Sus scrofa: one gene and its partner. The protein of the gene in region 2 purifies or fractionates together with the protein of the main gene of each other region. This does not show direct contact. Links are inferred from orthologs where the notes say so. Each region holds a gene or a part of one and is shown on either strand. Other genes may lie near its edges.

Region 1 (3,532 bases), on a different chromosome or scaffold from region 2:
GAGCCAGTCCTTGGAGAAGGGAGGAGCACATGGAGAATCACTTGGGCTTTGGGAGGGTCACGGTCATTCAAAGGTGAGAATATAATGCTTCCTGGGCTAAATCCCAAAAGTTCCCTTTATTAAACATGTAAGGATTACTCTCAATACTGTGAGTATAAAGCTCAAAAAACATCTCTGGTTGGCACAGAAAGACATCACCCCTAAAAGAAGATTTAGTCATTTAGCATCAAAGAAATATTGTCACATCAGAGCTATTAACTCAATATTGAGCATTCGGGGGAAGAGAAGAGGATACTATAATCTCAGCTCTCTAAATGGGCAGCAGGGAGAAGGAAAAGAAAACAGGGAAGGGAAGAGGCTATGGCAATGGTTCTTTAAGGACTTGGACCTGTTACAGGTGAAGAGGAAAGAATTCCATGCGAAAGAGGAAGGGTAAAGACAGCTCAGAGGTAGGTGTTAGAGACAGGGCTCTAAGCTCGGGCTGCATGTAACAATCAGCAGGAAGCTTTTAAAAACCCCAGGGTCAAGGCTGCACCTCAGACCAATTACATTAGGACCTCATGTGGTCCAGCCACTGAGGATAAGGGGGAAAAAAAAGGAGGATTCATTATGCAACCAAAGATAAGAACTTCTGCTTTAGGGGGTTCCATCTGCATTTGCTTTAGGGGGTTCAATCTGCATTTTCATAAGAAGAAAACATTTATTAATATAGATACTATGTATTTATGTATACTTTTTTTTTTAATGTAGAAGGCTGGCTAACATTTTACTTAATAGACCCCTTGCTGGCCACTCAGGAGAAAGTGATTTCAGTTAACACAGAAAACCCTGACTTCTAAAGGGAATTACTTCCTGATAACAGAAGAAACTGGGCATCTAACCAAGAAAGGCTCACTGAGTTTATCAGAAGGATAGAAAAGACAGGAGCTTGTGAAGTTTCCAGAAGGCTCCCGAATGCCAAGAGTATTATTTCGCCCTCTGCTGGCAGGTTCTGAGAAAAACATGTATTCACCAAAGGCTAGTCCTCGGAATGTGTTGAGGGGGCAAAGAACAGGCAGCCCCTTATTGTAATACCCACATCAAACCACTCCATGGTTCTTTTTTAAGAGCCCAGAAGTGTGAAAGGCCCCTTTTTAAAACAAAGTTGTTCCAGGCTTATCCTACTTTCAGTACTATTTTTCATGGACAGTACCTTATTGTCACAACCCAATATGGCCATGTGGCAGAGAAAGGTACAAAACTGTCTCCATTAGACATTACACAACAGCAGCCACTCACTGAGTCAATATTTTTATATAGGAAAGTGACGGGGCCCTGTGGACAGAGAGTGGCTCATTGTGCCCCTTCCCAAGGACTATTCCACAAAGAATCCTCACGAGGGATCCTGGAGCCCCAAGAAATGTGTTGTGAATTACAGCTCAGAGGCAGCTCCGGAAAAAATACTTTCTGGCTGGAATTCACAGTACGGACCCCAGATCCCCTCCTTAGTCACGCTCCACACTCTCCAAATTATGCTTTCGCTGTGCTTCTAAACGGTTCCCCAGGGGTGGGGTAAGCAGACGTAATACAGAATGAGCCCGAGAGGGGTCATGCTCTTCTTCACAGATCCTCAGGTTATGTATTTTTTATTCGAGACCACGGCCCTGCCACAATTCCTCCCAACACACATAGCTCCACATGTAAATAATCAGGACCGAAACTAAGGAAGCAGAGGCGGCGGGGACCAGGGCCGGCTGGTGATCCGACAAAGATGGACAATTTAAAGTCTCAGCACGCTCACTTTATAATACTGCCCTCTGCACTCCTCCCCACCCCCCATCAGGTCTGTGTCAGCTGCCGGGGAGTGGATGAGAGCAGGATGTGAACTACCATCGACAAGGCTTGGTGAGCAAAGCACAAGTTACCACATGCCTCTTAGAAAATGTGCATCCTGGGAGTTCCTGGGGTGGCTCAGCAGAAACAAATCCACTAGTATCCATGAGGATCTGCATTCCCACCTCTGGCCTCGTGCAGTGGGTTAAGAATCCCGGGTTGCTATGAGCTGCGGTGTAGGTCACAGATACGGCTCAGATCCTGAGTTGCTGTGGCTGGGGTGTAGGCTGGCAGCTGTAGCTCCAATTTGACCCCTAGCCTTGAAACTCATATGCTGCGGGTGTGGCCCTAAAAAAGAAAAACAACAACAATAAAAATGTGTATCCTCACAAAATCACTACTGGGTAAGAGGTAGTTTTATTGTTTCTGTTCACCCAGAAGTACCACGCTGGGCCACCCCTCTCTTGGAATTTATTTAATCAATCCTGTAAGTTAATTTCAAGAGGTTAATCAACTTGATTAGAATCTTGACTCTTTGACATTCTGCTTTATTTTCATTTATTTATTTTATTTTTTTGTCTTTTTGCCTTTTCCAGGGCTGCTCTGGTGGCATATGGAGGTTCCCAGGCTAGGGGTCTAATCGGAGCTGCAGCCACTGGCCTACATCAGAGCCACAGCAACACAGGATCGGAGCTGTGTCTGTGGCCTACACCACACAGCTCATGGCAACACCGGATCCTCAACCCACTGAGCGAGGCAGGGATCGAACCTGCAACCTCCTGACTCCCAGTCGGATTTGTTAACCACTGTGCCATTATGGGAACTCCATTCTGCTTTGTTTTTAAAGGAAAATCTCTCACTGAAACGCAATGCATGATATGGCAAGTTAAAGTAAAACTAGAAGTGAGATTTTTAAACTTCGGTTTTCCAAAATGGTTCTCGAATGAAAGTCAATGTTTCATTTTAAAATAGAAGAGGACAGAAGTTCCATTAGTTTCAGTTTTGGCATAAACTAATGAAAACAAATGGAAAAGAAACACCCCCAATTTTGGAATCAAAATTTTTTCAGCATTTAAATATAAGGAAAACCAAGTAATGCTTTTCTATGTGATTATTTCAAGCTGTTATCCAAAGAGCAAAGTTTCTAAACTTGATTTCCTCATGAATGCTTCTACCCTAATCCTGTTCATTTCCCAGTGAGGGTTTTTAAAGTAACTTCGTGATGGCATATTGAGAGATTTGTGAAGTCAATTCCACAACAATCCTTTGTCCCATTTTGGAGGGAGAAGGGGCACTTACCTCTTGTGACACTGGCATTCTTGGATTATTAACAGTTGCTGAAAATGCAGGATTATTTCCCGAACTATCAAACCTCCTTAAATCATCCCTGGAATCAGCAATCTGGAGAACAGAAAATTGACCATGATTTCAGTTGCACTGTGACACACTCAAGGCAAGACTTAAAGTCACTGTGGCAAACTCACATCAGAAGTGTGAGCCTCTCTTACTGTCAGAAGCTCTATACAACAGACCCCCAGGTCCTGTGACTTTAAGCCTTGATGTAAAACTATTAGCGAATGCACGAAAAACAGTCTTTTTAAAAGTCTTTTAAAAAGTCAGAAGATGATAACCTATTAAAAAAAAATCACTTGGCAAAAAATAAAAGGATATAAAATTTGCAAGATTTTCACTGTTACCTTATTTTTCCAGTGGTTAAGTA
Region 2 (4,293 bases):
ATGGCTTCCACACCTAGAAAAAGGCACAGATAATACCTGTGCCTCAAGAGCTATTGGCTAGAAAGGTGAGGCATAAAAATGATTGGCAAGACAGAGAAAGATGCTGTTTGAATTGATCTTCTTTCATTCAGGTTTCTTTCTAGGCTGCCCGAACTCACTCTGCTGTCTTTCTGCAGTTTTTTAAGCCAACAATCTATAAACCCTGGTCAGGAGGAGACGAGAAGAAAAGAGGAGGAAGACAGGATGGACCAGGACAGGGCACAGGGTCCTTCTTTCCTCCAGTTTCAGCCTAGAGGGCCAGCCCAGGCAGGTGCGCATTTCCTTAAACCCTCCGCGACACCTCTCAGGACGGCCTCCCTGGGCAGGAGCAGCCGCTGGTTCAAAGTAGAAACTCAATGTGCCTGTTGTTTTCCTTTTGAAGTTTAAGGGAGGGAGAGGAAAGGAATGTTCCTCCCCCAAGGGCACCAAAACCCATCACCTTACAGTGTGTGCAGACACTTCTAAACACAGGGCGAACTCGGTCAGACGCCACCTTCGCGCCCCTAAAACTCTAACAGCCGAAAATCTGGTTCTTTCATCCACATAAAAACTTAACAGCTTTTCTGAGAAAGCAAAATAAAAACAGTTCCCTGGTAACGCTACCTAGGAAATAACATTTGGGAGACAGAGTTATTTAAAGCAAGGTACCTCCTTTTTTTCCCCCAGATTTAAGAATGTGGGCCCATGCTTTGAAAACAAGATGAGGACCAAAAAAGTGTTTAAGACCACAGACCACCTGGTGACCATCTGATGCTGGCTTCAGGGCACCAGCCAGCTGGGCCTTAAGTTCCTTTTTAAACTGGTTCGCTTTCCACAAAAGCCGAACACCCCCCAGGTACTTTGAGTGAGGCGTGCGAGCTAGATTACAACCTGATTAACAGCCTAAGAGTCAGTCTAAAGAAAGCATTGAGCAAATGCTTTTTTTTTTTTTTTTTTTTTAATGTTACAAGAGGTCCTTCTTGCTCTGCTGGTCAGAAATAATTTTTCACCCAGTTCAGTTTGCCTTCCTGCCTCTAAATTCAAACCAACAAAAGCAGGAATTTTAGGAAATACCAAGAAACCACATCCGATTTTTACCTAGCAGTCAGTAGAAGCTTAGGTGGTAAATGCACGTTGCATTGAAAAATTCTTTAAATCAGAGTCAAGGACAGTTTTCCTCAAGCACAGTCAGGTTATTAACGTAAACTGTTACTCCATTTAAAAAAAAAAAAAACAAAACTCTAAAATGCTGGTAACTTTGTGCCCTTATTTTTCTAGCCAGCAATCGCGAACAATGAAATCGAGTTTTCTTTTTCTGGTTTAAGAGAGAGAAAGAGCAATGATCTCTCGCCAAAAGGGGGGCAGATTCCCAGGTCCTATGGAGTCCAGGTACTAACTTCTCAGGCCTCAAGAGTGAGGGGGAGAGAGGAAAACGAGCCCGTAGAAAGTCTCAAGATAAATAATCCGCTGGGAGACTTGTGGCTGTTTCCTTAAAGCTGGTGTGTCCCAACTCGCTTGGCTAAACCGGGAATGCAAAACTTTACCCACATACCCTAACCGTATAGTGAGATTTTAATCCCAACCATTCTCCCACCATTTATATGCCCTTACAAACATTACAAACTGGCCAAGGACGGGGGTTTTATTTTTCAAAGAGTTTTTAAACAGTCCCCCATGGCGAAAAACTTGCACGCAGTCCTGTAAATTGGAAATGCAACTTCTCTCCCCGCCCCCACCCCCCGCACCCCTGCCCCCACTCCAAAAAAAGTCACTGGAAGGCCAAGGAGCCACCAAGTAGCATCGGAGAGGTTTACTGGGAAGGGACTGGGCTGCATCCAAGGCAAAGCCCAGCGTGCCGGGATCCACCCTCGAGGGCACGGGGTTCGAAGGATCCCTTCTTCCGGAAGGTTTACGGGCTCGCACTTTCCCCTCCGTCGGCACCAGGAGGAAACGCGCCGAACAAACGCGCTGGAAGTGGAGCTGGCAGTTACACCTTCCTCCACCCCGCCCTGCCTCCGCCGCCCCGCGGGCCCCGGACCAGTCGGGGCGCGCCCGGGGCTCCCCTCCCGCCTCTCAACTTTACTGCCCCCTCGCCGGGGCGGCCCGGGGCCTCCAGCGCCCGCCGCCCGCGCCGGGGCCCAGAGAGCGAGCCGGGCCTCCAAGGGCATTTCCCCACATCACTTCTCCCCGGGGATGGGCCGGCGCGGGGCCTGCGGCTCGGGAGGCGCCGGGGGCAGAGGACGCGGGCAGGGCGAAGCGCCGGCACCCCCACGGCCCCCTCGACCCCCTGCCCGCCGGGGCCGCCTCCAGGCCGCGGCCCCAGCTCCCTGCACCCTTCCGCCCCCGAGACCCAGGCCGCGGGGCCGCTCGGGGCGCCCCGGGGGCTGCGAGCGCGGCGCGGGAGGCCGGCGCGACCCCGGAAGGGGCAGCGGAGGGGGAGGGGGCCGTGTTTACACCGCCAAGTTCCCCGCTTCCGCCCCGGCCCGGGCATCCCTCGCTGCCCTCGGCAGCCGGGTTCCTGCCTACCTGCATGCCGGGCAGGCCCGACTGCACCGGGGAGTGAGCCATGGCGGTCAGGACAGCCACTTCCTGGGACGGGACGGCCGGGCCGCGGCGATCCGCGCGGGCGACGAGGCCCGCGGGCCGCGCGCAGCCCTCGGGCGGCGGGGGCGGCCGGCCAAGCCCGAGTCCGGCTTCGGTGGGCCGGCCGGAGCCCGAGGCCACCCCAGCCCCCGCGGGTCCCGGGCCGCGCGGCGGGCTCAGGGGCCGGCGGCGGGCCGCGTCTCCATGCACCGCGCCGGGGAGGGGCTGCCAGGGGCGCGGGGCCTCGCCGCGAGCTGCTTCCGCTCCTGCCGCCGCCGCTGCCGCTTCGGCGGCTGCTGCTGCCTCTCGGCTGGGAGCCGGCGGCCTGGGCCCGTGCGCTGGCCGCCTGGAGCCGGAGTGGGCGCGCACAGCCGGCCGAGCCTGCGAGCGCCGAGCGCGCCCCGCCCCGGCCCGGCCCCCGCGCCCGCCCCCGCGGCCCGGCCGGGGACCCCGCCCCGCGCTTCCGGGAGGGGGAGGAGGAGGCTGGCGGCCGCCGGGCGCCCTAGGCCGCAGCCGCCTGCGCTGCCGCCGGCCCGGGCGGGTGGGGGTCCGCGCGTCTCCCGCGGGCTGCGCCCCCCTCCCAGCCGGCGGGGCGGAGCTGGGAAGAGGGCGCGCGGGCGGGAGTGGGGAGGGGGACACAATCGAAGGCGGTCCCGGGGCGACCGCCCCCAGGCCCCGGCCAGTCGGGCGCCCCGGGGGACTGGGCGGCCAGGGCTCGCTGAGTGCCAACTCTTGCCAGACCATCTCCCTCCTGCCCTCCGCGCGAGCCCACCCCTCCCCGCCTGGCCCCGGGGAAGCGGGCTCCCGGCGACCTCTCCGGGGGCAGAGTCGGGGCCAGGGGGACCTCGAGAGGGAGCGTGCCCAGCGGGGCCTCAGCCAGTGGCCGGTTCAAAACTACCAGGGCGGAGCTTCTTGGTGTCTGGGTGAAGTTTCCAACCAACCCAAGGAGGAAAGCGGGAGGGGAGAGGCCGAGAGTAGTTAATTCCGCGTTTTGGCGACTTGAAAACACCCTGCTTGGAATACTAGGAGCTGTAAACTTAGCTGAGGAGTGGGGGGCTGAACCCCACCCTCTCTGGGCCCCGGAGAATATGCAAATTTAAGAATATGTAAATTACAATAGGGGATCGTCTGCCCCCGAGAAGGGGAAAGTGGGGGAGGGAGGGGGAGGAGGAAGGGACACAATGAAAGGAAACCCTGTCTAGACTTTCCCCTGGCCTTCTCCCGCTCTTTCCGCTGCCTCCACCTTTTAGACACCTCTCCTCCAACTACAGAGGAAAGAAATAAGAAGGAATGAATCAGTGCTGCCTCCAGAAAGTAGTATTTTATTTACAACGACAAACAGTGGCAGCCACTGCAGTGATGTGCCGTATCCCCGGTTGTGAGGACCGGTGAATGCCCACGTGGCACCGCGGGCGAGGTTGGACAAACAAAAATGAGCCCCCACGAGTTCACAGACTATTGGAAAAAACTAAAAAGTCCTCCCCCTGAAAAAAGGATTGTTTATTCTCTGAAGTGTCACTGTATTCAGAGCTCTGGATCAGACTAGGAGTGAGGTGCTAAAATGTAATCTTTGCCTTCCCTTTGGAAATCTGTATTCTCCCCCCCCCCCCCGGCGCCGCCCCCCCCAATTGGTCCAGAGGACTTTCAGAGACCTTGTCACTTGGTGGTGAAGCCGTGTCACCCCCAAGTACT

What was found.
Region 1: the proteins of STK24 (region 2) and CTTNBP2 purify together in Homo sapiens (affinity purification with mass spectrometry; 3 studies listed by BioGRID and IntAct, with this or other methods). This does not show direct contact. The link is inferred for Sus scrofa from reciprocal best matches to the Homo sapiens genes STK24 and CTTNBP2.

What each region holds. Positions count from the first base shown.
Region 1 is NC_010460.4:28,567,211-28,570,742, reverse strand, and holds part of CTTNBP2 (cortactin-binding protein 2), read right to left. Parts: intron 3,214-3,532; coding exon 3,112-3,213; intron 1-3,111. UniProt on the Homo sapiens protein: Regulates the dendritic spine distribution of CTTN/cortactin in hippocampal neurons, and thus controls dendritic spinogenesis and dendritic spine maintenance.
Region 2 is NC_010453.5:67,562,645-67,566,937, forward strand, and holds the start of STK24 (serine/threonine-protein kinase 24), read right to left. Parts: upstream 2,999-4,293; 5' UTR 2,587-2,998; coding exon 2,545-2,586; intron 1-2,544. UniProt on the Homo sapiens protein: Serine/threonine-protein kinase that acts on both serine and threonine residues and promotes apoptosis in response to stress stimuli and caspase activation.